Linked DNA regions of Rattus norvegicus. The protein of the gene in region 1 interacts with the protein of each later gene in a biochemical or structural test. Links are inferred from orthologs where the notes say so. Each region holds a gene or a part of one and is shown on either strand. Other genes may lie near its edges. The genes, in order: Usp8 and Stam2.

The links.
Region 2: the proteins of Usp8 (region 1) and Stam2 form a complex in vitro, tested with the Homo sapiens proteins (3 studies listed by BioGRID, with this or other methods). The link is inferred for Rattus norvegicus from reciprocal best matches to the Homo sapiens genes USP8 and STAM2.

The regions. Positions count from the first base shown.
Region 1 is NC_086021.1:134,408,964-134,425,738, forward strand, and holds the start of Usp8 (ubiquitin carboxyl-terminal hydrolase 8), read left to right. Parts: upstream 1-6,562; 5' UTR 6,563-6,701; intron 6,702-16,775. UniProt on the Homo sapiens protein: Hydrolase that can remove conjugated ubiquitin from proteins and therefore plays an important regulatory role at the level of protein turnover by preventing degradation. Converts both 'Lys-48' an 'Lys-63'-linked ubiquitin chains.
Region 2 is NC_086021.1:57,600,641-57,616,615, reverse strand, and holds part of Stam2 (signal transducing adapter molecule 2), read left to right. Parts: intron 1-508; coding exon 509-695; intron 696-6,213; coding exon 6,214-6,308; intron 6,309-8,187; coding exon 8,188-8,270; intron 8,271-8,402; coding exon 8,403-8,490; intron 8,491-9,721; coding exon 9,722-9,776; intron 9,777-12,881; coding exon 12,882-13,032; intron 13,033-15,975.

The DNA.
Region 1 (16,775 bases):
CCACTCTTTATTTACAGGCTGTTATTAATGTTCTTAAGGGATGGATGGTACTGGGCTTTGTATGTTTAGGTGGGCAATTATATCTTATCAGTTGGATCTAAAGTTATTGTGTTGTGTGTTCTTTCATGTGCAGATTTAAGTGTAAGGGAGTGTGGGGCGGCTGGTCTGGGCCACCAGGGAATTGGAATGTGTGCTTCTGGCAAGATGTACAGCAGATATCTTGGGGCACTGCAGTGACAGACCTAGTTGGGGATAAAAGACAGCATTTTATTTTTTATATTTTTACAACAACAGGATGAAGTGATGATTTAGGAGTTGAAAGGTTGGAGGGGAAGATCTGTATGACTCGCTGGAGATGGGGGTAGGGAGGGAAGGGAGGACACAGCATATGGACTGGTACGAGCTGGGGAGGAGACTGGAGGTTGGATTTGGAGGAGATGGGGAGAGATGATAAGTTGCTGTTAGTTATCCTTAGCCTACTTTCTTCCCTGGCCTGTGTGGCAAACAGAGTGTTCCCTGGGAATGCCTGTGGGAATTAGAGCTAGGATGAAGCCGTGAGTGTGTGTGGGGGGGGGAGGGGTATCAAGGAGATCTGTATAACCCACTGGAGATGGAGCAGGGAGACTGCAGCATGTGATCTGCTACAGAGCTAGGAATAAAACTGAGGCACTGGATTTGGAGAAGAGAAGGGATAAGTGAAGAGTGCAGTTAGTCTACCTGTTCTCCTGGCCAGAGTCAGATGTAGGCCCTTTGAAAGTTCAATGCTCACCCCAATTACACACTTCCTCCAATAAAGCCACATTTCCTGATCCTTCTAATCCTTCTCAAATAGTGCCACTCCCTGGTGACTAAGTATTCAAGGAGATGAGCCTGTGGGAGCCATTCTTATTCAGACTTCTATATTGCCATACAACAGGATCTGTGCACTTTTGCTGAGTGTGTGCAGGTGCTTGTGCATCCTTGTATGTGTGTCTGTGTGTGTAGGCTATAGGAAAACTTAGGTATTATGTTTGTTAGTTTATTGTCAATGTATCACAAACTAGAGTAATTTGGAAAGAAGAAACCTCAATTGACAAAATGCCCTTTCCAAAGTAGCCTATGTATATGAGTTTTGAGGGTATTTTCTTCATTACTAACTGATGTGGGAGGGCTCAGTCCATTGTGGGTAGTGCCCTTCCTGTGCAGGTGGACCTGGGTTGTATAACAAAACAGGCTGAAAGCCTCTAAACAGCTTCCTTTCATGGCTTCTGCTTCAGTTTCTGTCTCCAAGTTTCTGTCTCAAGTCCCTGTGGTGGTTTGAATATGCTTGGCCCAGGGAGTGGCACTATTTGGAGGGGTGGTCTTTTTGGAGGAAGTATGTCACTATGGGCGCGGGCAATGAGACCTGCTCCTAACCATGTGGGATCTAGTCTTCTAGCCTTTGGAACAAGAGATGGATGTTGTGGTATAATTATAAAAATAAAATGCTGTCTTTTATTCCCTCTAGATCCAGCACTGGGGTGCCCTAAGATATCTGCTAGATATCTTAAATCTCAGTCAGCAAAGCCTCTCACCCGATTTGCTCCATCCCATATCATACTGCCAAAGGCCTCTCTCTGAGCCCTGTCAGCAATCTCTCTACCTATATAGTTCCCAAGGCAGGTTTCCATGCCAGAAACACACATAACTGTGTGGCAGCCCAGCCCAGCCGCCCCACACTCCCTTATACTTAAATCTGCACATGAAAGAACACACAACACAATAACCTCTGATCCAATTGATAAGATATAATTGCCCACCTAAACACACAAAGCCTTGTACGCATCAATCCCTTAAGAACATTCATAACAACCTGTAAAGGTACCCCATCCCCCAAACAGACAGGAGCCCATCCGATGCAATCACAGTAGGACATTTTTATTCAAGCTAGCTAGGGTTCCTCAGTGCACCCCTGCTACGCAGGAAGGTTTTGGTGCTGAGGAGCCCCGAATATCTATCTGGGCAAGACTTTATAGGAAACAGCAAGTGGGGGGTAAGTGTGCAAGCATCTAATTGGGAAGTTATTATGCCATTAACATAATTGGCTGGTGCTGGGAGTCATACTATAAACTTAAGTTTTGAGTCCCTCTGCGTTGGGGTTGTTAGGCAGGGGGCGGGCTTGTAACCTGGGGGTGCAGGTTTGTTGGAGGAATAACCTGGAGATGCTGGTCTTGTTGGGAGATAACTTAGAAACTAATGCTATGCTTGTTTACCTGAGTTCAAACTCAGGTCAGGTTCTCGGAAATGGAGTCTGAATTGAAAAGATTTGGCCTCTCAGCTGTGACAGACCTGACCAACTTTTCAGAATTTGTGGATAGACTTTGAAATGTTGAATTAGAAAAGGAGTTGAGGGGGGTTGGGGATTTAGCTCAGTGGTAGAGCACTTGCCTAGGAAGCGCAAGGCCCTGGGTTCGGTCCCCAGCTCCGAAAAAAAGAAAAGGAAAAAAAAAAAAAAAGATTTATAGAAAAGGAGTTGAATATTCAGAGACAAATTAATTACTGTGGGGATTTAGAAGAAAATGGTGAGTGTAGAGCAGATGAGGGAGGCCTGGCTTGTAAAGTTTCAGAGGGAGTTTACAATTCCTTCAATGACTCTACTAGGACCACTTGATATTCTGAGTTTAAAATCTGCACCAGGAGGTGATGGTGCACACCTTTTATCCCAGCACTCAATAGGCAAAGGCGGGCAGATCTCTGAGTTTGAGGCCAGTCTGGCCTACAAGAGCAAGTTACATGGCAGCCAGAGCTACACACAGAGAGAAACCCTGCTTTGAAAAAACAAAACCAACAACCAACCAACCAACCAAACAAACAAACAAACAAACAAAGACTGTGTTCTGGTCAGATAGGGTTAAAAAATTTGCTTTCATTGACAAGAGGCCAAAATCACTAAAATGATTGAGAAGAGATTAAGCTATGTTTAAGAGGAGACCAGCAGTATCATAGAGGCAGAGTCTTCTTAGGTGTTTCCTCAGATCAGCACAGAGAAGATGTGGTCCTTTGGAATGTGGCAAGTCTCCCAGGTAATACTGTTTTCGAAAGCATGAAGAAGGCCAGGAGAAGCCACTGGTGACAGTCCAAATTTAGTTGCACTAGAAGCCCTAGTATTGAAGGGGCAAGTAGAGAATTGAGGGCTGACAGTGTCTGGTCGTGTTTAGGTTCCCTGATGAGAGTCCAGAATTGGTTGCAGGTGAACCAGTCCATTTGTAACGGAGAGCCCAGAACTTTAGAGGTGCCAGTGCCATGGAGCAACCACCAAGGACAGCAGCAAGTGTGGGATGGAGCTGGTCTGAGTCTGTGAGAAAATCTGTGTATACTGTGGACAGAAGAGCCACAGAGGCGGAACTACTCAGCCCCTTCAGAGCCTAGAAGATTGCCATAGCAATAGAAAAATAACTACGGGACTGGTTATGAATCATACAATTGGAAATAAATTGTGGAGATATTATAATATAATACATAGTGTGTTATAGTATAGTTCTATCTCAAGGAAGGATTGCATCCAAGCACATACATGATATACATTTATACATATTAAATATTTAATTTAAAATATCTTCTTTAGACGATTCCTTAAAGTATCATTATAGGTGAAGGTTGGTAACATTCTCCAATTGTAAAAACAGCACATCTCTTATCTGAAATGGTTGGGACAACAAGAATTTCAGGGCTTTAATTTTTTAATTTGGAATTCTTTCATATCTAATGAAGTATCTTGGGGATAGAACCCCAAGTCTAAGTGTAAAGTATTGTATGCTGTTTGTATGCTATATACTAACAAATAACTTTATATACAGTGCTCTTAGCATGCCTATTTTGATTGCAAACACCATCACAAGAATTTGGAGATTTTTACTGTGGCTTCATGTTCAAATTCTTGCAAGTCTTTCAGCATACCCACTCGTCCCTGCTTCACAGGTTTTGTCCTGTACATACCCATTAGTGCATCTCTCACCCTAGGTCCTGTAGAGTACCACTTTTTCATAAAGCCCTCTCCTGTCAATCCCATAAAAGAGACTGCCGTCCTTCCAGACCCCTTAGTTTATTTTTACCCTTAGAATTTAACAATGGTTAACATAGACTTTATGTTTTTATTATGTCTTTACCAGAAAAACCTAAATCAACTCTGAAAATTGATGACTGGCACAAACATCTACTCAATAACTGTACAGTTTTTATTTTAAAAATATTGTTTTGTCTTAATTTTTTGAGACGGGGCCTCATGTAGCCCAGCCTGGCTTTAAACGATGTATAGCAGAGGTTGTCTTTGAACTACTGATCCTCCTACCTCTATCCCCTCCCAACAAGTGTTAGGATTACATCTGTGTCACCTTGCTTAACTACCAGTAAGTGGATGTTTAATAATGGTGAGTGAACCAGGTACTGACTTATGTGAGCACTGAAGCTATGATTCAATATGGGCCATTACTTTTAAATAGGTATTATTCTAGGCACCACAAGTACTGTTGCCTAGTTTGTTATTATATATATATATATATATATATATATATATATATATGAAAAAGAGCCGTGTCCTACAATACAACTGAATGAGCATAATTTCATCCAGGTGTCTCTCCTCATGAAGATTTCTCATCCCATAAGGACTGAAAAGTTCAAATCTCACCTCAGGATTTTTATTAGTCATCTGGAGCTATCTCCAGTCTTTTTGCTTTTACTGTATGGCTCGGACTGGGGATTACCTTGCCATTTCTTGTTTCTGATGTTTGGCACCTGTTAACCCACATGTCCACCTCTTTCTCTATTTACGCAGAAACACATGCAAATGACTTGTGATTTCTAGCAAACCTGACTGAAATGTCAGTGAAGCAGGAAGAATTCTGTTTGCTGGGAGTGGGACGAGACAGAAGCAGAATTACATCAATGCAAGTAAAATAACTCTAGGCGTGGGTTGAAGAGGTGGCTCAAGAGCTAAGAGCTCTTGCTGCTCTTCAAGGGGACAAAGCTTCAGTTGCCAGCACCCATGTTGAGTGATTCACAACTACCTGTAACTTCAGCTCTAGGGGCTAGGACACCCTCTTCTGGCCTCAGAAGGCATCACATGCATAAATACATTAAAAAAATAACTGTAGGTGAATATTAAAAAGCAGTGTTTATTAAAAGCTTTTCTGGGACCTCATCAATATATTAAAAAAAAATTGTTCTTGGGGAGAGAAAGCACATGGAGATCAGAAGACAACTTTTGAGATACCAGGCGTGTGTGTGTGTGTGTGTGTGTGTGTGTGTGTGTGTGTGTGTGTGTGTTTTCCAGGGATCAAACTCAGACTGTCAAGCTTAGCTTACCCGGTAAGGATTTCACCCATCTTGTTGGGCTAAGAGAAATTTTTTATTGACCCACTCCAATGATGTCTCTCTTCTTCTTTCATTCCTACCTTCTTCCAATTGTCAGAGCACCCCAAAACGTTCTCCATGTGTTTGATACTTACTCTCACATTCAGCTCTAAGTTTTTCTTTCCTTATTCAATTTTACAAAGCTGAGTAGAGAAAATATTTTCCTAAAACAACCCGTCCTCAAAAAGCAATTTCTTCCTTAATTATGAGGAAAAAGAAAGTCATTGAGACTTTTATTCAATAGTTTCAAGCATTGTGCCTTATCATAGCAGTCTTTACTTGTCTAGAGAGATCAAATAGTATATAATTTAGTGTTGGTTTTTTAAAGAAGGAATACAAATATATTTTTGCATGTAGCAAACTGTAATGGGAAGGAAATTAATGTTTATTTTAAAGGCTGCTGGACTGGATGCTTACTAGTCTTTACGGTTGACTGCCTATTTGCTAAATATTTTCATTATATATACTTAGTAGACCTGTACTTACAGATTTGACATGCATTAAAGATTTGGACTATCGGGATTGGGAATTTAGCTCACTTGCCTAGCAAGCCCAAGGCCCTGGGTTCGGTCCCCAGCTCCAAAAAAAAAGAAAAAAAAAGAAAAAAGATTTGGACTATCCCTAGGGATTTAGTGACCAGGGACAACTCCACCCTAAGCAATTTTTATGTCCACGAGTACCCCATCCTTTCTCCACAAACTATCTTCCAGAGTTCAGACCCAGCTTTGTAAGACTGGACCTTTAGGAAATTTTGACCGTGTTTGTGCAATGTTTTCCAAACACGTCTGTTCTTTAACAAGAGGCTTGGATTTGGAGAATGCTTACTCTCAAGTTTTTGGGGTATCAATCCTCTTCCCGTTTTTTTCTCCCCAATTTCCGATCTGAGAAGAAAAATACACTATTGAGAGGCGCTAAAATATCTTCGCTTCCTCCATGGACAGCTTAAAACACGATGTGACACATTCTGAACTGACTTCCTCTAGGAAATGAGATGCGCGAGGACCCCGGAAGTGCTGCATGGGCGCTTCGGTCCCGCACAGGCTCAAACCTCCCTTCTGACGCATGCTCACACCGGCTCCGTGCTCACCCTTCTGGAGAGGGCCACCCCGTTGTCCCTCCCTACCGGACAGAGAGGAGGAGTTACGGTTCTCACTTGAAGCTCCGCCCCCTCCGTGACGTTTAGAGGCGCGACCCGTCGCACGCAATGCGAATCGGGAAGAGGGGATGATCTGCGCTGCTTTGCGTCTGAGAACGGAGGCTCGTTCTCCTTCTGGTGGTGGGCGATGGGCGTCAGGCGAGAAGGCCGGCGTTAGCGGAGCGCGGGCGCTGCGGTGAGTGCGGCCTGGCTCCGGCCCCGGTTCCCGGGGAAGGCGTCCTCCAGCTGCTGGTCATCCGGGAGACGAGCGGTGTCCGCGGAGGGGTGGGACAACCCCTGACAACTGGCTGGTCCAGGAAGGGCCCGACTCCTGGTCTCTCCCGTTCCCCTCCTCCGGTGCCCAGCGAGTTTGATGTGGTTTGCCGGTCTCAGAGGGTGGCCTTGACCAGTTCTCCTTTCTTTTGGACACTAGACCCAACTTTGGACTCGTTCCTTTTGCTTCCTTTTTCTCATTTTGTGCTATCTACAATCCCAGGCCTTACTACAACCATTTGTCATGTTTTCCCTATTCCCCTGTACCCCGGTCACGCATGATTTTAGTGAAGTACAAGAATTGAGTTAAATAAACTCACCACATTTAAAACTTCTTCAAAGAGGGCATTTTCTATTTTTTAAAAAAATGTTTCTTCGTTTGTAGACTTTTGGCACTGACAAGTTCACTTCAAATATGATGTACCGAGGGGATTGTCAAACCCAAACACAGTGATGTTCATTTACCCACAAAGCTGCAGACCCTGTTCCTGTTTTGTTCTAGCTTTCAGTCTGTGACCTTGACCAAGTCAGTCATTCAAGAAATATTTATGTGACTCACAGAGGTGTTTCAGAGTCTAAGGGGTTTAATGTTTATTAAAAGCTCTAGGGTTTGGGATCAAAAGGATGCCTAAAGAGTGTAATCTCCCCCACCTCCCAAACAAGTCTTACTATGTAAACAAGACTTGTCTTAAACTCACAGAAACCCTCCTCCCTTGGCTCGAGAGTTGGATAAAACTGTGCATCAAGCACCACTCCTGGCAAGGGCAATCTTTTTTAATCTGTAGAGTATTCTTAGTTGTGTATATTATCTTACTTCATTAAAAAATCCATGTGTTATTTTTTGGGTTTGGTGGCTTTTGTTTTTCCGAGGCAGAGTTTCTCTGTGTAGCCAGGGCTGTTCTGGAACTCACTCTGTAAACCAGGCTTGCCTTGGTCTCACCGGCCTCTGCCTCCCGAGTGCAGCCCCACCACTGCCAGGCTCTGCATGTTGCTTTTTTTTTTTTTTTTTTTAAAGCTCTCTGCTTTATGACTCTTTCTGTTTAAGACTTCTAGTTGAAAGTCAATCATGTTGGATTTAGGGAGTTTCTTATCGATAGAGCTCTGCCTAATAAGGCTGTATTCATGCTTCTTTAAGACTGTGAATTAGTATATATATTAATCATGCCACTGTTGATATGAAATGTATATTACTGCTCTTTTGACCAGATATTAGGTACATATTTTAGTTGAGCTGCACGGATCTTGCAGTAGCAATATAAGTCTGTGAGTAATGAAAAACTAACAGAAATATTTAAAGTTTTCTTTTTATCCATTAACTTGTTGATTTATTTACTTACACCTTATTAATCATTCTGACCTTTTGTTGATAAGAACATAAATGGGGGGGTTGGGGATTTAGCTCAGCGGTAGAGTGCTTGCCTAGCGAGCGCAAGGCCCTGGGTTCAGTCCCCAGCTTCGAAAAAAAGAAAAAAGAAAAAAAAAGAACATAAATGGGTCAGAATCCAGATGGCTTTGTAAAACAGTTGTAATATAAAGCCAACACATCAAACTTTATTCGTAATATGCTTAGGGAAGGAGATTTATTTTGCCCCACGGTTTCAGAGGCTTCTGCCCAAGGTTAGTTGGATCCATTGCTTTGCATCCGAGGTGAAGCATAGTCCCATGGTGGCAAAAGTATGTTAATGGAGACTGTTTACCTCATAGCAGCCAAAGAGCAGGGAGGAGTCTTGTATTTTATTTTGTTATAAAAACTGACTGGGTTTAGGTTATCAGAAAGCACTCCAAGATTGTTCATTCACCGTAGTTACTGATGTTGGTTACAGCTGGGAATAATGACTGCAGTGCTTAGTGCAGCGTCTGTGTGGATTGAACTTCTTATAGCCTGTGTGCTGGGTTCCATGACTACACTTTAGTCTCTGAAAAGCCTGTATCAAGAAATTAGCACAGTAACTTCTAGTAATATTCTAGTGGTTAGAGCAATCATGGCACCCTTCCTATCAGATGATGGATTTATACCATTTTTGTGTTTATGTGTGTTTGGTGCTAGGGCACCCAGGGCATGGCACATACATATCAAAGCACTGCTGCGATGTACCAAAAGCCTGACTCCTACCTTTTAAAGCAAAAGGTTCTCAAAACTACTTTACAGGCTCCCAACATGTGTGTGACCACACGCAAATTTATTTTTTGTATAAATCAAAAACTCTGTAATCTAACCATATATAATTGCTCTTAGAAACTAGGGCTATTTCCTTCCTTCCCTCCTTCATTTCTGTTCCTTAGCATTCTAATACTTGTTCGTGTGCCTTAGAGTTCTTTTCCTTTTTTTTTTTTTTTTTGGTTCTTTTTTTCGGAGCTGGGGAACGAACCCAGGGCCTTGTGCTTCCTAGGCAAGCGCTCTACCACTGAGCTAAATTCCCAACCCCTGTTCTTTTCCTTTTTTAGCACTATGCTTCCCTTCATTGTGCAATGTCTGTTCTCTACTGAGTCTTTCTTCCCATAGGATGCCTAGTTTGAGGCCTTAAGTAAAGTATCAGCTGCAGCAAAAACAAGGCTTCGATTCCTTGATGATTTATTCTCTACTCTCATGACCAAGGCTGGCCTCTAATTCCTGGGCTGAAGAGATCCTTCTGCCTCAACCTCCCCCCAGGTAGCTGGAATTGCAGATGCATGCCGCTGTACTCTGATGCCAGTGTTTTAAAGAGAATTATATATGCTTTAAAATACACTACATAGGGGCTGGGGATTTAGCTCAGTGGTAGAGCGCTTACGGAAGCGCAAGGCCCTGGGTTCGGTCCCCAGCTCCGGAAAAAAAAGAACCAAAAAAAAAAAAAAAAAAAAACACTACATAAAAGCAGGGTAAATAAAATAGTTGTAAAACGTCCCTCCCAGACTCAAATTTTGCTTGTGTAGACTCCCAGCTTCAGACCCCATTTTGAAGTATATGTAGCCTTTAGGAGGTGGGGCCTGACTGGTAGATGTTTGTTGCCGGGGATAGTCTTGAAGGTTGTTCCAGCCTGTGGCTCCCTCAGAGCTTTCTGCTTCTGGTCTGCCAGATTAGAGGAGCCACCTCAGCATACTCGTGCTGCCATAAATTCTGTCATAACTTTCCCTGCTATGATGGACTGAAATTCTTCCAAAACAGTGAGGCAAAATAAACTCCCCTTAAATTATTTCAGGTTTTTTTGTCACAGAATAAAAGTAATACAGTATCATTTTCAGTGATAGTATATGCTGTAATCTCCCAAACAATAGGTTTTTTTTTTTCTTTCTAAGACAGCCTTGGCTGTCCTAGAACTCACTGTGTAGACCAAGTTGGCTTTGTACTAAGAGATCCACCTGCCTCAGCCTCCTCAGTGCTGGGATTAAAGGTGTGTGTCACCATGCCCATCACTGGTCAGTTTTTATTTTCATTATTTATTTATTTTATGTATTTGAGTACACTGTCTATCTTTTCAGACACATCAGATCCCATTACAGACAGTTGTGAACCACTATGTGTGGTTGCTGGGAACTGAACTCAGGTCCTCTAGAAGAACATCAGTGCTCTTAACCGCAGAGCCATCTCTCTAGCCCCATCACTGATCAGATATTAAGCTACGGTTTTGTTTTTCACATTTGTTGTTATTATTGGCTTGCTTGTTTGGTTGTTTTTTGAGACATGACCTTTTTAAATAGCCCAAAGCCGCCTTGAATTTACCGCCTTCTAGCTTCAGCTTCCTGTCTGGGCATGCATTTTTGTGTGTCTGTTATTATTATTTAGTTAATAACATTAGTGTTCTTGTCTTTTTACAGAAGGAAAATGAGGTAATGTAAGCAAGTGAAAATACTCAGTTTTAATCATTAAATCACCAAAGCAGTGTGCCCAATTTGTTCTTCCCTGCTATTCTTCCCTAACTGTTCTTTCCCATAGTATTGTTCCCTTATTCCATCTTCAAATCCTCTTGCATATACCCATTCTGGCCGTCCTGAGGCAATACTGATGTGCCAAATGTCTTCTCAAGCCCTCCACTCTGCGACAGTACTTACTTTTTTTTTTTTTTTTGGTTCTTTTTTTTCTGGAGCTGGGGACCGAACCCAGGGCCTTGTGCTTCCTAGGCAAGCGCTCTACCACTGAGCTAAATCCCCAACCCCAGTACTTACTTTTTAATCTAGCAGCTCTTAAGTGTTGACAGGATTATTAAGTTAGAGTCAGGATACATCATATCATCAGTGCACTCCTTTGGTCCCAGTGATTATTGCTTCATGATTCCCATAGGTTGCCTTACTATAGTTTCCGAATTGTTTTCTCACAGTGATTTCTCATTTTATGTCTCTATGGTGCTTCCCTTCTGAAACATTGCCTTTCTCACTTCATCTCTCATCATTTCAGCCAATTTGTTATTTGGCCCAAAAACTGTACTGACTGAGCAATATAGGTAGCAAGTACTGTAGGACTCAGACTAAGACATGAACTTCAAGAACTGACAGACAGAGGGAAGCTGAAGCTGAAAGGAAGGGGCCAGCATTGAAGAAGACACTGTGGGCTGGCTGAAGCTTTCTCTGTCTAGCTGAACTAGATTTTTCTTTCCCTGAGTTCAGCTAGTGACCTGAGTCATATTAATATGTACTAGAGCAATTGATTGTTGACTTATTATTTCATGAATATTAACTCTGGTTAACCAGAGTAAGACATTTGTGACCACCAACCCTTGTTTTCTATATCCCTTAGAAAAGTGTGTTCAGAGTCTGCCTCACTTAAGGTTCCACCTTACCTCAGTGATGAGACATGGCTGCATTATGCTTAGTCTTCTGTTTTCTTTCTTTTTTTTTTTTTTTTTGGTTCTTTTTTTCGGAGCTGGGGACCGAACCCAGGGCCTTGCGCTTCCTAGGTAAGCGCTCTACCACTGAGCTAAATCCCCAGCCCCTTCTGTTTTCTTTAGGAAGTAAAAGCTTGCCTTAGAATGGAGGTTCAAGGACTATAAAAGGTGTATGCTTTTTGGCGTGTGTTCTATAATGAGCTTATTTGGTTACAGATCAGCAAGTGGTAGTTCCCCAGGCCAGCGTTGGTCTTTGGACTGTATTTGGAATAGCACTGCCGTCATGTGAGCTATCAAGTTCTCGTTTTGTTTTGAGACATTGTCTTGCTGGTTAGCATAGGCTGGCTTGAATTCTCAGTCTTCTTGCTTTAGCTTCCGGCTACACATCGGGCTACTTTGTTTGCTTTAGTTTATAATCCTTTTTTTAATATTGCATAATTTTACATATATAATATACACATATACATACATGCATACATACATATATCCAGGGTCTTACTATGAAGCCCAGGTTGGCCTTGAATCTATAATCCAGTAAAATACATACATACATATACACACACACACACACACACACACACACACACATACACACACACACACATACACACACACACACACACACACACACACGCACGTGCTGAAGACTTTAGTAGCATTGTTCCATGCGGAGTCTGACTATGTGGCATGCCCTGTCGCTGTCTTTGCAGGGTTTCTTGTTCTTGTTCTACTTCCTTATTTCACTTCTGTCACCCTGGGTCCGACCTCCATCCTTCTTTCTCTTCCATCATTACAAATCATTACAATAGATAACTAGGATTTTCTTTCTTCACATCTTTGTGCTCTTGTTAGTTGGGGTTGCACAACTAACAAGCAGGTTCCTTCAGAACCCTGCTGTGGTTCTCTTATTACCTTTAGAAAACAAGGTAAATGCTCATGTGCTTTTCATAGCCTTTTTTTTTTTCTTTTCTTTTTTTCGCTCTACCACTGAGCTAAATCACTAACCCCTTTTCATAGCCTTTTATGATTTGTGTGGAGACTGTTTTTGACTTCTCTGCCTCATGGCTTCTTGTACATTCTGTCTGATAGCTGATTCCTAGAGATGCACTTGGTCTCTTGACCTTGTCCCCACACTATTCCTCACTGCTATCAAAGCCATCTTCATCAAAGAAGATACTTAACGTTCACTTTTTTCTGATTACTTCTAGTTCCCTTTGGTTGTAGTTTTCTTTCCTAATGTTTTTATTTGTAACACCATCTATTACTTTTATTTCCACTGATTACAATTTTGTTTCACATTAGTTTTGTAAGCCTCATGTGGAACTAGTCTAATCCTTCAGCTTCTGAAAGCATGGCACTTTATATAGCAGGATATCAATGCGCTTACATTTTACTTTAACTAGCTAATGACCTACTCTTTTAAATTATCTATATATCTGACACGATTTTCACATTTATTTTAAAGATCCAAGTTTTAGGGGCTAAAGAGTTGGGATTGAGAGCACTGGCTGCTTTTTCAGATGACCCAGGTTTGATTCCTGCACCCACATGGCAGTTCACAGGATCTTTAACTCCAGTTCCAAGGGATCCAGCACCTGTTTGTGAATTAAAGTGTTCATATTAGATACCAGGCCTTATGTCTTCTTTAACAGCTGTCCTTTAGTGCAGAACCTGCACTTGCAAGGAAAATCTGCTTGGGGTTTTCACTGATACTAAAATAATGGTGCTGTCTGAGAACAAGGCAATCCAAGGGATCCCTGTCACACCCTTTATTTAATGGATGTTCTTTGTTCTTAGTGAATTGTTAATGAATTGATAGTAGAACACATCCAGTATCACTTGACCCATTTGGAAGTGATGGTGAGGGTAGAAACTTTTTCTCCCATTATTATAACTTTAGATACAAGGTTCAGAACAGGAGGTAAAGGTTTCATATGCAAAGTCATTGTGTCCCCCCCCCCCCCCCCCCCCCGAGCTGAGGACTGAACCCAGGGCCTTGCGCTTGCTAGGCAAGCACTCTATCACTGAGCTAAATCCCCAACCCCTAAAGTCATTGTTTCTAATTGCATATATATCAAGGTATCAGTTACCATTTAGTTCAACATGTTTTGAAAGATGCATGGAGCAAGTATATATATAGAAAAACCTGAAAAGGTAAAAATGGGATTTTTAGAGGAAAGCTGTTTGGTAACAATATAGTCCTAACACAGACTTGGAAGGGATAAGACCAGATATTCATAAAGTATTAGTGTTTAATACAGGAATGACTAGAGTCAAAGGAAATTGAAGTGTTTTTGGAGTTTGATGTAAGTGGACTAAGACCATTCCCTTAAATTGTACCTCAATCAGCCCTTAGGAATTTTTTTTTTGTCCAGCCACCTTTAATCTCAGCATTTGGAAGGCAGAGGCAGGTAGATCTTGAGTTTGAGTCCAACCTGGTCTACAAAGCAAGTTTCAAGACAGTCAGGGTTATACAGAGAAACGTGGCCATTTTGTCTGCATGTACATCTACATATCACTTGGGTGTTGGATCTTCTGGATTGGTGTTATAGATGGTTATGAGCCAACATGTGGATGCATGGAATTGAATACTGGTTTTCTGGAAGAGCAATCAATGCTCTTAACCTCTGAGCCATCTCTCTACCGCCTTCCCTATTCACTCTCTTGGGAATAGGCGCTTGTTGATCTCTGAATTGATTGATGAAACTGAATTGATTGTACCGTTTAGAGAGCACAGAGATGATGGGGGAAAATAAAGTTACAGTTAAATTACTAAATTGTAAGTAGTTACGCCTGGCAGAAGACCACACTGGAAGTTAGTCTGGTCACTGGTTTTCAGGTGGTGACACTTAGGAGCATACCAAGACACTGCCTGGGGCGCTTTGATCTGTTCCATCTCTGGTATCTTCATAAAAAGTAACATGCCATTTTAATTAGTGCATACCTTCTGATTCTTCCTGTTTTCATTTTGTTTACTTCATATTTTCTACTGGTCAGAATTAGCATACCAGGAAACAAAAAAATGTCATGAACTATCAAAGATCCTTTCAGAGTAAACCAAAGTGTAGGAGTGTTTCCTGGCAGAAGCAGAAATATGTTGTTTTAGTTCCTAGCTCCGTATAAACCTGGTTTTGCCTACTACTTTTATAAACTTATATCAAGAGGAAAACAAAATATTCCAAGTTGGAAATTCTACTTGTATATAAATGTAGTTTTAACAGAAAAATATGAAAACTTTATTATTCTGTTCTTTTTAATAGATAAGATTTTAATACTGAAAAAAAAGATTTAAATACTGATGGCAAAATGGTACAATAACCCATTTAGTTAATGAACATTTGAAAATAAGTATTTCTTTTTTTTTTTTTTTCTTTTCTTTTTTTTCGGAGCTGGGAACCGAACCCAGGGCCTTGTGCTCGCTAGGCAAGCGCTCTACTGCTGAGCTAAATCCCCAACCCCTGAAAATAAATATTTCTTAATATCATAGGGGTATGGGGGTGTGTATCTTAAATATATCCCAAAATAGAAATTCAAGATAACTTAAAATGGACCCTGTTGGGAAAGGATATAGTTAAATAGTGGGTGTTTGTTTTTGTTTGAATACAGTCTTTTTTTTTTTTTTTTTTTTTTTTTTTTTTGGTTCTTTTTTTCGGAGCTGGGGACCAAACCCAGGGCCTTGCGCTTCCTAGGTAAGCGCTCTACCACTGAGCTAAATCCCCAGCCCCTTGAATACAGTCTTATTGGGTAGCCCAGATTAGTGATAAACTCACAATCCTCTTACCTCAGCTTCCCAATTGCTGGCCCAGGCTTGACGTGAGTGTGTTGCTAAGCCACGAATTCAATCTAAAGCCTTTCACACCACTCACACCACCCAGTCACTTTGCCACTGAGCTGCATTCCGTTTTTTGTTTTTTTTTTTTAAGATTCATTTAATTATTTAGTGTATATGAGTATACTGTAGCTGTCTTAGACACACCATAAGAGGGATCAGATCTCATTACAGAAGGCTCTGAGCCACCATGTGGATATGACCTCTGGAAGAGTACTCTTAAACACTGAGCCATCTCTCCAGCCCTGAGCTACATTCCTACTTCTGGAATTTCATTTTTCTAACACTTTTTTTTTTGCTCTAAATAATGTAACATTTTTATTAGTTTGTTAAGAACTTAATACATGCATTCAATGTATTTGACTCATACACACCTCACTATCCCTTCCAATTTATTCCAGAACCTTTTTTTTTTTAAAGATTTATTTTATTTATATGAATACACTGTAGCTGTCTTCAGACACACGGGAAGAAGGATGGTTGTGAGCCACCATGTGGTTGCTGGGAATTGAACTCAGGACCTATGGAAGAGCAGTCAGTGCTCTTAACCTCGGAGCCACCTCTCCAGCCCCAGAACCTTTTTTATTGATTTAATTTTTTAACAGTCCAGTCTTTGCCCCCTCCCATAGTTCCTCATTCCATTCCTCCTCCCTCCTGTCTTCAAGAGCATGTCCCTCGTCCCCCAACCCCCTCTCCCCACCTACCCAAGTCTTCCCACTCCCTGGGGCCTCAAGTCTCTCAGGGTTAGGCGAGTCTTTTCTCACTGAGGCCAGACCAGGCAGCCCTCTGCTGTACCTGTGTCAGGGGCCTCAAATCAGCTGGTGTGTGCTGCCTGGTTGGTGGCTCCGTGTCAGAGAGATCTCAGGGGTCCAGGTTAGTTACCACTGCTGTTCTTCCTATGGGTTCGCCCTCCTCCTCAGTTTCTTCCAGTCTTTTCCTAATTCAATCACAGGGGTCCCCAACTTAAGTCCGATGGTTAGGTGTAAGTATCTGTGTTTGTCTCAGTCAGCTGCTTGTTGGGCCTCTCGAAGGATAGCCATGCTAGGCTCCTGTCTGTAAGCACAACGTAGGATTAGCAATAGTGTCATGCCTTGGAGCCTTCCCTTAAACTGGATCCCAATTTGGACTGGTGACTGGACCTCATTTCCCAAAGTCTCTTCTCCATTTTTGTTCCTGCAGTTCTTTTAGACAGGAACAATTCTGGGTCAGGGTTTTTGACAGGGATGGCAACCCCATCCCTCACTTGATGTCCTGTCTTTCTACTACTGGAGGTGGCTCTACAAGTTCCCTGTCCCCACGGTTGGGAATTTCATCTAAGGATCCTCCCTTTGAGTCCTGAGAGTCTCTCGTCTCCCAGGGCTCTGGTACA
Region 2 (15,975 bases), about 77 Mb from region 1:
GGGTTTTTAGTAATATATATTTAACGTTCTACCTTTGGGGAGATTACATTTCACCTTTTCTTAATGCCAGAGCTATGACTCAAGCACAGAAATATGTTCATGGTGTCCTATATAGAAAGCTACCCGTATTATAATGTCACAATCTGTTTGCTATAAAAATAATTGCTGTATATTACAGACTGTGATAATAAGGGATGAGCAAAAATGTTATTTTAAAAAACGTCATGGGTCCTGTCCCCTTCTGACTTTAACCATTTAGTATTTGTTTGGACAGGCCAACTGGCATTCACCTCAAGTCCCAGCAATGTGAGAGCTGGAAATGAGATCAGGAGTTAAAGGTTATCTCAGCTACTCAGGGAGCTCAAGGCTCCATGAGACCCTGTCTTGGAAAGAAAGGAAACACACACTTGACTTATTCTTAAATACAAGATTGTTATCTAATATTTTAAAAAGCTTTTAGGTGTTAAACTTAATTCTTTTATAATTACATTTTAATTTTTCCAACTAGCTATTGAGTTATCGTTGCAAGAGCAGAAGCAGCAGTACCCGGAGACGAAGGCTCTGTGTCCACCCGCAGAGAGCCAGTTGAGTAATAAGGTTGCACGGAGAGTTAGAGCTCTATACGACTTTGAGGCCGTTGAGGACAACGAGCTCACCTTTAAACACGGCGAGATTATTACTGTTTTGGATGACAGGTAGGTTCTATGCTTTTCTGTGCATCTGTGTGTACTAGTCTGAAAATACTCAGTATCCCTAGATGAGGATAAGGAATACTCGTGATTTTTACTTTTAGTCAAATAATACAATATTCTCTTATTATTTTCTTGAAAATCAGACAAGGCAGTGAGACCCCGTGGTCAAAGCAATCAAAAGCCATGCTAATAGAAATGCTATTGCAGAACTCCCTCACCATTCCTTTACATTTACAATCCAAAGAAGCAAAACAGATTGATCTGTTTTGAGCCTAATTCTCCTCCTCCTTCTCTTCTTCCTCCTCCTCCTCCCCCCCCCTTTTTTTTTTTTGGCTTGTTTATTTTTGGAGACAAGGCCTTTAAGGCCTTCTGTCTCAATTTCCCAAATGTTGAAGTTACAGAGAATTGGGATTTCTGCATGAACTTTATTATACTTTTAAAAGAAGCGGAAGTGGTCTGTGAGCTGGCTCAGTGGATCACAACTCTTGCCTTTACGTGTGAGGGCCTGAGTCCAGTCCTTGGGACCCACATGTGGTAGGAGAGCACTGTCTTTTGCAAGTTCTCTTCTGCCTTCCACACACACATACACGAAATAGATAAGTGAACATAATCCTTTTTTTAAGTCGATGAACCTTTGCAGTAGTGAGGCCAGGCGGCTTTCTGCTGTGAGCAAAGATGGCGAGTGTACCTGCTTTCCTAGACTAGTGAGGTACATGGAAGTAGTTTTAATTTTTTAAGTATATTTATTTGTGTGCACACATGCATGTATGATCGTGTGTATGCCCACACAACCACCATGTGATGTGGAAGTCAGAGGACAACTTGCAAGAGTCACCTTCTACCCCAGAACCCCATGTGGGTTCTGGAGGCCAGACACAAACAGTCAGGCATCACCATAACCTGCTGTGCCATCTTGCTGGCCCTAGTCTAGCCTATTTTTAAGTGGCTACATACATATGGTTTTGCTTTGCTGCTGTATTTATAGAGAAGATGTTATGTAATAGACTATTTATAATAAAAAAAATGAATGAGGACACAGTTCTGTTTTTGTGAGACTTAAGTAAGGGAGTTAAAATGATGGGGTAGACAGTGATATATGCAAGACAGAGCATGACGATACCATGAAAGAGGCTGTCTCAGGCCACGGAGAACCAGTTTACATTTGGTATAGACACTGGCTTGCCCAAGGGAGGGTTGCTTCGTTTCAGATGAATCTTGATGGAGTGTTTTTCATTCCATGTTTTTCACTGCTAAGGACTGAACTCTGGCCTTGTACACTCAGGGCAGAGCTTTGACTCTCAGTTATGTCCCTAACCCCTTGGGTTGACTTTGAAAAAAAAATTGTAAGAAACTGAAAGGAGTCTAAGCACTAAACAGAAAAATAAGAAAGAAGCTTTAAGGAAAGGCTAGGATAGCATCAGCACAGAATTTATTGCTTCTTTGCCTGTAGTAGCTGTGGTTTCCTCGTAGGATGGTCTTACCCATCAAGGGCATCACTTTCCTTCTGCCACTGTCATTACAAGAGTCGTCAGGGAGTTGTTCTGGTTAGACCTCACAGCTGAAGAGAAAGGCTCAAGAGTTCCTTGGTTCTGAGACTTACACTTACTTGTGGGGAGGGTGCACATGTGTGCTGTGTCATGTGTGTGACGGTTAGAGGACACCGTACAGTTCTTTCCTTCCGCCATTGGGTCCTAGGGGTCAGTCTCAGATCTCCAGGCCCAGGAAGTGGTTTTAGCTGAGTTGTGTTGCCAGCCCAAGACCTAAAACCAGATAGGAGAACCTCAATCTCCTTTCAAATCTCAGAATACAAAAGGTAGGTTGTTTGTTTTATTTTCTCATAGCATTCCATAATAAATGCAGAGAAATGCCAGTTTTATTCTAACAGCCTAATTTCCTTTCATCTTGTCAAGTCAGCTTCTCTTCAGGAGTCACCTGCTGAGCTGTGTTTCTCTCTGCTGTAGCCAAGCACCCATGTGACAGACACAAGTGAGGAGGCTGTGTTTTCACCGAGAGTCCTTGCTTGTGTAGAAAGTAGTGTACAGAATATCTCTGGGCTACTGATGCCTCCTTCTCTGATCTAAGAATTTAGGTGGTGGGTAGCTCGCTTATATCATTGTGGAACTCAGTAAATGAAATGCTTCAGAGGCACAGAGACAGCTTCGTCATTAATCCCAGGATTCCTCCTTTGAGGACAGCGTAGTGTAAGAGTTTGAACCTCGCACGAAAAGGCTTTGGATACAGTTCCTAGTCCTACCAAGAAGAAAAAGAAAACCAAAAGCATCTTTAAGAATCACAGTTTGTCACATGAAATTTCTAGAAAGTAGATAAAAAGGGTTCTTCCCGGATAACTATGACTGTCCTTTTTTGGAAGTCCAAGAGAATAAGTGGTATTGATAAACAGCTAAGTTGGATTTATTAGATAAAACTTAATGACAAAAATCAGTGGTAGGTTTGAAAATGTAGTAGGAAGATGTCATTCTTTACTGCAGCTGTGAGGACTTTGAGAACCTGTGTTTGGCCCACTGGATCAACATGGCAGCTCACAACTGTAACTCCAGTTTCAGGGGTGCAGTGCCTCTTCTGAGCTGTCAGGTGCCTGCATGTGGTGCCATGTGCACGCTCAAGCCCACATACTTAGGTATAAAGTAAAATCACTAACGCCATCTGGTAATGAATAACCTGCAAGGGTATGCAAGGCCTTTATGGAGACTCTATAAAATTCCTGGAAAGGTAAGAGATAAAAGTATACATTATATTTATAAACATACAAATAGAGTGATAAACCTTCATATTGTAAAGATTTAGGTTTTCTCATATCACATAAATGAACTGCATTTCCAATTAAACTCCTTTTAAAATTCTTTTTCCCAAAGAATTTGAAAAAAGTTGGAGACGTGATGTGTCCAGAGAGTGGTTAACCAGCCAGCATGAGGGGCGTGGACTCTTCCCGATGTATTGTACATAGCAGTCACTTCCTAGGCAGATGAGAAGCAATCTAAGCCTTAGGAATTGCTGGCCTCTGCAGTCTTTTTCTCTTGGCAGCATGATTGACTGCAAGTAACGGAATCTACAGAGAGCTAAACGGCAGCTGACGAATTCCTCTAGACTGTTGGAATAGAGTGAGACACCGAGATAGGCTCAGGACAGACACAGCTTGCAGTGTGACTGTTAGGGGAGCAGATGTTAGGGGTTTTTTTTTTTGTTTTTGTTTTTTAATTTATTTTTTACTCAATCACTTTGCATCCTGCTCACGGGCCACTTCCTGGTCACCCCCTCACACAGTCCTTACCCCTATTCCCCTCCTTCCCTCTCCTCTGAGTGGGTGGGACCCCCAGCTATCCCCCCACCCTGTTAAATCAAGTCTGTGAGGCTAGGAGCATCCTTTAGTGAACTCTTAGTAATTTTTGCTGCACTGATTTGTTCTTCATACAATAAAATGAAGTTTGTTCCACACAGCACTTACAGTTTGATTCCACATGATTTAGTGACCTAAGCATGGCAGATGGACAAAAATGCAATCTGAATTATTAGACAAGTCTCTGGGGAGGGGGTAGATAGTAATTTAGGGCAGAGAAAGCTAGATAAATGTGAGACATGGAGAAAAGGTTACTTAATTGCCCTGAAAGCAGGGGTGGTCTTAATTCAGTTGCCATTCTAAGTTCATAAAGAACTAAAATCCATGAAGAAAATACCTATGGTCCAGTAGGAAAAACTAAACAGGCAAAGATAAGAACAAGCAGTTTAGGACTGGAGAGATGGGTCAGTGGTTAAGAGCACTGACTGTGGGTTGGGGATTTAGCTCAGTGGTAGAGCCCTGGGTTCGGTCCCCAGCTCCGAAAAAAAGAAAAAAGAAAAAAAAAAAAGTCAAAACATTGCTTTATTTTGGGCTGGAGAGATGGCTCAGCGGTTAAGAGCACCCACTGCTCTTCCAGAGGTCCTGAGTTCAATTCCCAGCAACCACATGGTGGCTTACAACCATCTGTAAAGAGATCCGATGCCCTCTTCTGGTGTATCTGAAGACAGCTACAGTGTACTTATATATAATAAATGAATAAATCTTTTAAAAAAAAAAAAAAGAGCACTGACTGCTCTTCCAGAGGTCCTGAGTTCAATTCCCAGCAACCATATGGTAGCTCACAACCATCTGTAATGGGATCAGATGCCCTCTTCTGGTGTGTCTGAAGACAGCTACAGTGTACTCATAAAATAAATTAATAAATCTTTAAAACAAGCAATTTAAAAAGTGAATTCCAGTATAGCAAGGCTACATGGAGAAACCCTGTCTCAAAAAAAGAAAAAAAAAAGAGAGAGAAAGAAAGAAAGGAGAAAAGAAAAAGAGAAAAAGCAGTTTGTGGAAGAGACCTGGAGAATCCCCGTGAGCATGATGAAGCATGCCTTGCCTTCTTTCTAGAATCAGATGTCGGCACGGACAATTACCACGTGTGGGAAAATGACTGCCCCACATGCTCCTTGGGGAAGGAGTGTGAGGTACCAGTCTTTCTAAGGAACATTGGCAATATCTGTAAAACCAAGCATGCCTGAGCCAGCACGTAGTTTTGTCTGTGTGTCCACCCTTCTCCCTACCCCCATCCCTTAATATTTTCGGAGACAGTTTCATTGTTTTGGCCTTTTTATCCAGACTGGTCTTGAACTCCATGGCTCATACAGTTCTTTCCAAGTACGAAGAGCTATAGGCATCAGAACACACCTAGCTTGCAGGTCAGTCTTGAACAAACCTAGAACAGTAGTTGCGCAGGTCAGTCTTGAACAAACCTAGAACAGTAGTTGCGTATCAGCTTTCTAATCCAGAGTGATTACTAGTCAGTCTTGTTTGTTTTTCCAAGACAGAGTTTCTGTGTGTAACCCTGGCTGTCCTGGAGTTCACTCTGTAGACCAGGCTGGCCTTAAACTCAGAGCTCCATCTGCTTCTACCTCCCAAAGGCATCTCCCACTGCCTCCCTGTGCTCTTCAGTCTATAAAGTTGAGAGACTGGGAATGACCTGGAATGAGCTGTAGAAGTCCATCTTCACAGAAATGATTAAACTAAGTGCATGTGCACTTGTGACAGAACTTTAAACGAGACGAGTAGCGCTGGAAGTATTAACCATGAAACTAAACGGCTCTCCCTGGAGCGACACACGTCTCCACACAAGTGTCAGCTCAGCTGTCTTTACGTGTGAAGGGATGGGAAGTAGATAGGGAAGGAGCTGCCTCGAGTGTGGTGCTGGGCGTGTGGAGGGTGGATTTGGGCTTAGCCACTGATAATTGCTTCGAAGCGATGGTATGGGGATATAGATTTTCTTAGGTTTATACATTTTTAACTGTCTTTTCATTAATTTGAGAAAAAAGTGTTTCTGGTTCTCCGATGCTAGGATTACAGGTTTGTCCCACTGTGTCTGGCTAAGAAAAACAGCTTTTAAGTATGGCTAGATGGGAACAAAATGTGAAAGTCCAGTCGCCATGTTGAGTTTCTCTTGTTGGGGTGCAGAATAGCCAGTGACCTTTTCCGTGCTGTTTTCAGTGATGCCAACTGGTGGGAAGGAGAAAATCACAGAGGAGCAGGACTCTTCCCCTCCAGCTTCGTAACGACTGATTTAAGCACCGAGGTTGAGGCGGGTAAGGCAACAAAGGTATTGGTTTCTCAGAGAAGCATCGGTCTACTGAAGTTATCTTCCCTTGAATTTATTATTGGCGTTTGAGAGTGGGAGGGCCTGGGTGTCCCAGCACATACCTTAGTCTTAGCACTTGTGGACAGAGGCAGGCAGATCTGTGTATTTCAAATCCTTTGGGTGTTGGTGTGTATAGTGATGATGATGCAAAATAAATATTTAAATCAAAAACTGAGAAGCAGTTTGTATCTGGTCTATACAAAATGTTTTTGGAACCACAGTAAAGGTGGGGACCACATAGGTCTTAGTCAGCAGGTGCTGAGCAAGGCAACAGGCCTTGTGAATCCTTAACTTTTATATTTTCTTCCATCTTGATTTGATTATAGGCCACTGACCTTCACCTGCACCTATATAAACCGTGTAGTCGGCCACACCGAGAGCACGGGCATTTGTTACCCACGCACTCCCTGGGTGATTTTAAGTGTACAGAATCAGCCTAGAGTAATGTTGACAGTTGGTTAACAGCTGGTTAAGCCTGTCAGCACTCTCCCATGCTCTCCTGCCTGTGGAGTCAGTATGTTTGCTGCCTTGATAGAGGAGGCTAAGGTGGAGGAACTTGTCTGGTAAGGGATAGGGCCAGAATTCTAAAGGCCTCCAGGCTCACTTCTGAGTGCCCTCAGACTCCTGCTGAGGCAGAGCTGAGCCCCCTCTACAGAAAGAGCATGTTGTGAAATTGTCGTGTGCCGTGCACAGTGTTCATAGTGCAGAGTGAAGCATGAGGAGAAGTGAAGTTGGGTGAGGGGAGGCGTATTCATGTAGACACAGAGCGCATTGCTTTCTCTCTGGCTTTCGTAGTTGATAGAAGCCTTGGGAGCTTTTCAGATAACATTATACAACATAGAAGACATCCTGTTCAGGGCTCTTCCTCTTGCTAGAGTTGAAGAGACTGGCCTGTGACAGTAAAATATTCAGCTGGGAGTGTAGTTTAGTAAAATGATTTCCTAGCATGTGCAAAGCCCTAGGCTTGATCACAATTTCTCTTCAGTAACATTATTTTTAAATAGTAAAAAGTACTCTTTTTGTTTTGTTTTTTGAGGTAGAGTTTCTCTGTGTAGCAGAGGTCTAGCTGTCCTGGACTCTGTTTGTAGACCAGGCTGGCCTTGAACTCACAGAGATCTGCCTTTCTGTGCCTCCCAGTGCTAGAATTAAAGGCATAAACACCATGCCTGACAGGAAAAGTCATCTTGATCCTCACTGTATCTCTATGTCTTGTTGAGCTCTCTTTACATGTAATTCAAAGTTAGCCAAATACTTTAGGTCAGGAGGCCGCTAGACCTCATCCTTTAGTTACGTTGTTTTCAATAGAACTTTTGTTTCCATCAAAGTTTAATTAAAATTGAGTACTTTCTAGCAGTGCTCCAGGGATCTCGTATTAGGTAGTTTTCAGGATACGCATATTTATAAATTATTTTAAAATATTCTCTTTAGGAAATATTTTTTTGTTTTAGCTTTATACTATTTTAACTCTCAGATAGCTTAAGTTCAGTCTATGTTTTGTTCAACTAGGAAATACATATATTTTTTTTAATTTTTAAATATAGAAGGTCAGAGGTACATGGAGCATGCAGTTATAAGTGGGACTGGCTTAGTGATAACATCTATTCCCAGATGATTGTGTTCACCGCCTGGCATGTATCTAAGCACTGGGAAGGAGGTTTGGCACACCGTGAGTGCTGAGTAAATATTGTGGCATAAATGACCATATGTAATATATTGATTATGAATTATTTCCTATGGATAATAATAGACCACCTAGAAATTTAATGACTAAATTGTAATGCTGATATAAATGTTGCAAAACTTAAAAACTTATTTTGTTTCTGTAGCAACAGTGGACAAATCGAATGTAATTGATGACGATGTGGAGGAAATTAAGAAGTCGGAACCTGAGCCTGTTTATATAGATGAGGTATCGACCTTTTGTTTAATAAACTAGCAAAACTTTTAAAAAATATCCTATCTTTTTGGAATAGGTGGGAACAGTGCTTCTCCACTCAGTGCGGTTAACTGGACTTCTCAGTGTCTCCTGTTACTTTTCTAGGGTAAAATGGACCGAGCCCTGCAGATTCTCCAGAGCATAGACCCAAAAGATCCAAAACCCGACTCCCAGGACCTCTTAGACTTGGAAGGTATTAGTTAATATTGAACTCACCTTTATGTTGCTTACATACATATTACAGTTTATAGTGTCCTGAAGTTTTTTTCCTGCTTCCTGTTTGCTCTTTGAGATTTGAAATTCTTGTGAGAAACAGACTTGTATATAAATAATTGTAAATAAATAGAAGTGTCACTTGGAAGATACTGTCACAGCCCATCTCCATTTCATGAAAGGAGTCTTTGTATTTTGTAAGGTCTCTAGTGAAATTGGCCAAAGAAAAGGCAGGATTAGAAATAACAGCATGGACAGGTGGCTCACACCTTTAATCCCAACACTTGAGAGGCAGAGACAGGCGGCTCTTAGAACAAGTTCCAGGACAGTCAGGGCTACACAGAGAAACCCTGTCTTGAAAACAAACAAAAAACAAACAACAACAAATCATATCATAGTAAGTGAAGTCAGTATGTAAAAGTTTATTTTTGTTTAACTGTCTTCTGACTGTGTGTCATTTAGTTTCTAAGAGTTTAAAGCAAAACAGATACTCTTCTGTGTTTAAGGATCCTTCTCGGGTTTCTAACCAAGTGCCAACCAGCAGTCAACCAGAGTCAAACAAACAATCCCAGTACTTTGGGCTTCTGGGCTTAGGGGATTGATTGTACATACAGCTCCTGCATGAAGAAGGCTAAGGCAGGGAGAGCGCCATGAGTTCAAGGCCAGTCTGGACCATGGAGTGCGACCCAGTCAGAAAACCACACAACAAAACTAAACAACCTTTGTAAAAAAAAACACAGTAAATAGATGTCTTAAATTTTTTATATAAAAGAAAGCTTGGTTATGAATATGGAGCACTTCTCTATGATATTTGTTTTTACGTTTGGAAGTCTGTGAAGTGTTTGGTGTGTGTATGTGTGAGCATGCCATATGCACACGTGGAAGCCAGAGGCTATCTCTGTAGAGCCGGCTCTCTGCTCCCCCTAGGACCAAACGCAGGTCACCAGGCTTGTATAGCAGGCTCCTTTATCTGCATAGCCATCTTAGCCCTGCATTGTAAAACATCTTACATACATAAAAAGTATGACTGTCCAATGCTTGTGCGTGTGTACACATAGTCCATACATCTGGACCAGGTTCGCCTTTATCATCTTTCCTGGCATAAGCTTATTTCCCTATATTTTATATGATGATGCATATTCTCTTGTTTAAAGATTATTGAAATCGACTTGTATTAAGTTTCTATATTTGTAATTATTTCTGTATTACAGATATTTGCCAACAGATGGGTCCAATGATAGATGAAAAACTTGAAGAAATTGATAGGTGAGGTCTTCACTTGCTTTGAGCAGATTTTCAGCTGGGGAGTCGCTCGTGGGATTGAGCAATTACTGCAGTTCCGGGTCGGTCGCCAGACTTTAAAGCTAGCGTCTGGTTACGCTGTTTATTTTCATAACGTCACTCCCACCAACGGCAGGAATGTGGCATGTGTAGACCGTGGACCCTTGCATTTTATCACAGTCACTTTGTTTTGGGGGCTGGAATTGAGTACGAAAGAATGAAGTGTGTCAAGGACAACATGAACACGGGTGTACCCAGTGAGGTTGACTGTGACAGACCCAGGAGAAATAGCATCTGTGAATATAACGAGTGAGACTTCCCTAATTTGGGAAGCTAAATGCAGTGCAGCGACTCCCCTCGTCTTCTCTCAAGCCTCTCTCTGTGTTCCTGATGCCTTTTCTGTTCCCTTGTCGCCCTGAGTTTGCTGCTCTGAGACTGGGCATCAGTGCTGCTGGTGGACAGGGTTACTCCCATTGGAGAAGCTTGAGAAATGAAGTCCAAGGGGAAGGAATTACTCTCCGCTTTTCTCCCTTTCCAGCCCCTAGTGATTGAACAGCTGTATAAATCATACAAAAAGAAAGGGATTAGGTTAATTTTCTAGTAGGTCAGCAAACAGTGATTCATTCAGGAAAAAATGGTTTGTTCCATAATGTATTTTAACATTATTTTTATTTTATGTGTGTAAGTGTTCGCCTTCATATCTGTGCACCATGTATCTACCTGGTGCCTGCAGAGGCAAGAAGAGGGCCTCAGTTCCCTTGGAACTGGAGTTACAGGTGATTGTGAGCTGGAAATCAAATCTGGGTCCTGAGGAAGAGCAGCCAGTGCTCTTAACCATTGAGCCATCTCTCCAGCTCCTCCATAGCATGCAGATATAGTTTTTTTTTTTAATGAATCCTTTGTGTTTTTACAAAACTGAAATAATCAGTGGTAGATTGGTCATAGTTTTAGATAGATCATAGTTTTGGAGAACATATCCCACACCTACTTATACATCTGCTACTAATGATTAGTGAGTAATCACACTGGGAAAGTTGAGAAAAAAATAACTAGTTTGCCATACGTGTGGCTGGCAATATTAGTACGCATTTCCCTAGGCCTAAAAATATTCTTTACCCAAACCATTTGAAATGCGTACTAAATCTAGGGAGCTATACAGTGACCAGATGTTGTGATATTAAACACAATGCTATTTATGACCATAAATATGCAGCTAACTAAAATGTCTTTCAGTGTTCTGTGTCTTATAGTAGAAATTAATTGCCATTGAAAAATACTTTCTGATATGGAATGATGTCATATATATAGTGGAAGATAGAACAGCATAACATTACTTTCATTAATAAGAAGAATTTACTAAAGAAGAATGTCTAAAGGAATTAAAACTCAGAGTGCCCATTTCTGAAGTCAGTTACCTTTGAGTGAGAGCTGGCTGTCCATCTGTGAGTCTGTGAGCCAGGGTCAGTGTTTCATAGCAGAGGGGACATTGCAGCCTCTAGGGCTTTATAGTCTCATGGACTGTTTGCTCCTGCCACGAATTCAAAGATAAATATAAATCATTTTTCCTTGAATAAATCAGCAACAGTTTGCTATTTCTATAAGGGATGGGAATGAGAGTTAAAGTGCCTTGTTAGAAAGTTAAATTGTACATTTCACTTTGTCATCACAAAGCATGAGCTCTCATACTGCCCTCCAGTTCTGACTTACCAGACTATTGTAATCTGATTTTCTACTGCTTTCCCCATTAGGTTGGCCTTTCACTCCTCCCCTGTATCCTGGTTGTCCATTTGCCTACCTTTCTTTTACCATCTGGCCGACCTGACCTGGTCATTGTTTCTACCTTTCCTGTCCATCTTTCCTCAGGACGAACTTGAGCCCTGGTCTTGTCTCTGCTGTCTCCAGCTCCCGTTAACCTCTAAGTTCTCTGTCCTTTCCCCACTCCTTAGAAGTTTGCACTTGGTTATGTGTTACTTCATTTGCTGGTTTTTCTTTTGTGCTCTTGACCTTGTCTTCCAAGGAGAAGCGCCTCAGCTGTCCTTGCTTGCTCTGGTGTAGTCCTGAGTGTGATTCCCTGAAGGCTTGCCTTTGCTTGGGGTTGTCAGTCTTGCAGGATGGTCTTATGCATGCGCTCGTGGCCGTCCGCTGTTGTGTCAGTGTCTCTGCAGTACGCTGGGTTACGTAGGCCACATCACGCTGTTACTGCGTACACCTGACTTCTGTAGGTTTAAGTGCTTTGCAGCAGTTAGATAGTTTGCCTGCTTGTGGTCATGGCACGAGAAGAGACAGCACCTGTTAGTTGGCTCAAATAGCATGTTAATGAAGGAGAGACTGCTATTTGTGTGTTGGGCAGTTTATTCGGCTTCTCATCTCTCTTGTTCACACTGAATCACATCCAGTATACACTTACAGATGATTAATACCACACAAAAAGTAGCCATTTAACTTACACCGTCATTCATCACCCCCAGGGGAATGGGCAGAGTTGTACCATCAGGGTGCATTTCCTGGGTGGATAATGCTTATCTGGATTTGTTGTTGTCTAATGCTGTGCCTAGTTTTGTTTACTTCCCCAAAGTAATGAAGTAAACAGAGTAGCCCAACTTGTGTATATGTTGGTTTTACTTGTGTTTCCTTGATTTTAGTTTGTCCTGTCCTGGACCTGAGTAAGGCGTGTATGCTTTTCTCCCATTTTGCTCTTACTGCAGTCACAGTATACCTCACAGGGGCTCCGGGTCTTCATCTACATACTGTACTGTGTTAGTGGGGTTTATAATCAAGGCATAGACTTTTACTGAAACATAGACTATTTTTCTTTGTAATTAAAATTTTGACATAAATCTATAATGTATTAAGTTAAATTCTAGCACCCAAATTATGAATTGATTGCAATTTATGAGGTGTAGATCTGCCTTTTCTGTATTATTAGGAAGATGGACCAGTCTGTTGATGGAATTCAAGTTTCTCCTCTCAGTTTTCCTTTGGGGATGCCCTTTCATTGCATATAAAAAGAGCCTTCTGAGGTATGAACAAAAATGTGTACTAAACTTGAACGGTCTTCACGTTACTTTGAAAATACTTGTCTTGCATCAGGAGGCACTCAGAGCTGTCGGAGCTGAACGTAAAGGTGCTGGAGGCCCTGGAGCTGTACAACAAATTGGTCAATGAAGCGCCCATGTACTCAGTCTATTCGAAGCTCCACCCGGCTCCTTACTCAGCCACAGCAGCTGGGGTTCCAGTGCAGGTGAGCATTGCTCTTGAGAAGTAGTCATGGTTTTAAAAAAATTAAATGTTTTAAGAGCATAATGCTAAGGGCAAGATAAGGCCCCAGGGACCTGCTGCCCACGAGTAAAATTATAAAACTAGGGCTGGAAAGATGTGAAGAGATGGCTTAGCCATTAAAGATTAGGCTCACAACCAAAAAACAAAAAAACAAACAAAACAAAAAACCAATGTTCAAAACAGTGTATGTTCCTTCTTCACTGTGAGAAAGTACCTGAGGAGAGTCAGCTAAAAGGAGGAAGGTTGTTTGGCTGGTCTAGTGATCTCAGGCGTCTCAGTTCATAGTCAGCTGGCTCCACTGTCCTCAGCCCAAAAGAGCACTCCATCCCCAGGGCAGGTGGGAGGCAGAATAGTGCAGGTCTGAGGGCAAGATAAGGCCCCAGGGACCTGCTTTCTCCAGCAAGTCCTTACCTTCTCACAGCACGCTCTACCATGCACTCACTAACGGGCGGATTCATGGGTAAAGTTAGCTCTCGCTCACCAAGTTCTTGAAATCCAGACTTCCAGCACACAAGCCTCTGGTGTGTGGGGGTGGGAGGGGATCTCCATATCTGCAGACCTTGGCACTGAACTTTGATGGTTTCAGAAGTATTGTTTGAACAGTGTTAGCCATAAAGATTAAATATGATATTTCACAAATTCATTCCAGTTTATTTTTAACACATTGAAAAGACTGTGCCTGGTTCTTTTTATGCCTCTGTAAGGAAGTAAGTATGTATGGGGTATAAGTCTTCTTTGTAGATGTAAGTCCTGGGCTGGAGACATGGCTCAGCCGTTAAAGGCTAGGCTCACAACCAAAAATGTACATGTAAGTCCTGTTTTATCAAGCACGAATTTCTCTCATATATACACACACACACATAATTTTTAATTTTATGTACCCTAAAGTGTTGTCTGGATATATGTCTGTATGAGGGTGTCAGATCTCCTGGGAAGGAGTTACATACAGTTGTGAGCTGCCATGTGGGTGCTAGGCATTGTACTTGTGTCCTCTGAAAGAGCAGCATTTTCTTAGACTCACGCCTTAACGTCTGTGTAATGAAGCTTTGCTCTGGGCTGTGAGATGTAGTTGCCAGAAGCTGCCCATTAGCAACATTGCTTTCCCACTACTTAGCATGGTTTTGTGCCTCCAGCTGACATGAGAATACTCAATTTCTTCAGTATCCCATTCCAAAGCATTTTTCAAATCTTAGCCAATTAAATTTAAATTAAGTGTGGATGAGCAAAATTCATGTTAATTTATGAAAAGTGGTATGCAATGGAGTGTGTGAAGGAGACACCAAGGAGAGCAACTAGAATGTGGTGCATAAATTAGATGATGTAACACAATATAATTGCTAAGTATTTTTTTAAAATGGTTACTGTGGTAACTGTCACACCAGAGAAGAAGCATTTATCAAATATGCCATGCTCTGAACTTTTTGAGAATTACATATGAGCTTAGAAAGGATTTCTGGGTTTAAAAAAGATTCCTGAAGTTTGTTCACTATTACTTCTGTTTTTAAAACGATGTTTGTTGCTGCTGTGGAAGTGGAATAAGTTAGAAGTGTCTGCTCCCCTGAACGAGAAGTGTGTGTGCTTCATGTCTGTGAAGGGCGGTCGCTCCTGTGCCAGGTGTCTGGGCTGCAGTTTGTACAGCTCGTCTCTTTTCCTTCTTTAGGTGTTCTCTAACATTTACTTTTTTCACACAGCTTCTTAATACATTAAGTCATGTGTGAGTTTGTTTGAAATTTCAAAAAATTACTGTTCTGTTTTTGAAAAACATATGAACTAAGTTGAGTGGCTGGGTTATGTACAAGAAATACACTTACAAATGGTGAACTCCAGAAGCCCATTCCTGTCTCACTTGGCAGAGGCTTGCTAAAGAGAACATCATTGCATTTTATGTAGCTTACTTGGCGTCGCCTATTATCCTAGATTTTAATGTAATCTTTGGTTTAAATCAAACTTAAGCAATGATTACTACCATATAGTAGTTATTATTAAACATACGGCTCGCTTTTGAATGCTGTTATGAATAGGCCGATAGACTCTGTCCTTACAGAACTGTTACTGTCTGTGAACATTTACGTAGGTTTACATAAGAATCTAGTGACTTTTTGCCGTTTCCTAAGAATGCACTTTGTCTTATTTCATAGCTCATCTTCTGAAGGCAGGTCTCTTAGTCACTTCTGTGAAGAGACACATGACCATGGCAACTCTTAGAAAGGCAGACATTTAATTGGGTTTGCCTAGAGGTTTCGTCAGTCCATTGTCATCATGGCAGGCATGGCTGGAGAAGGAGCCAAGAGTTTGATATCTGGATTGGTAGGCAACAGAAACACAGACACAGACACAGACACAGACACACACACACACACACACACACACACACACACACACACACACACACACGTCCTGGTTTGAGCATCTGAAATCTCAAAGCCCACCCCCCAGTGACTCAGTTCTCCTATAAAAACACACCTACTAGTGCCCCTCCACAGCAGGAGATGGGTACACAAAGCAGAGAGGGCCCAGCACCCTGGTCCTCTCTTTCAGCCTCTCTCCAGTGGGGGAGGTGGAGTAGTCATCCTCATGGTGGTCTGGAGTAATCACGGGCTTCCCTTCAGGGGAAGGTTCTGTGGCAAGATGTATATTAATAGACACTCTTGATAGAGTCCAGCCTTCTACTTAAAAATACAGTCCCCACTCTTTTCTTCAAAACTCCTGGAAAATCAAAGAACAATTAAACACACTGCAAAAGTTCATTGATTAGATATCAAAAGTTGGAGACTTTTTGTTCCAGTGTGGAAAGATCAGCAGAATCAGATTGTTCCTCAAATAGACAGTTCATTTCTTTTATGTCTTAAAGTTCTAGGTGTGCTTAGTTAAATCATAGAGTGAGCAACATTTTTTCTCTTTGATT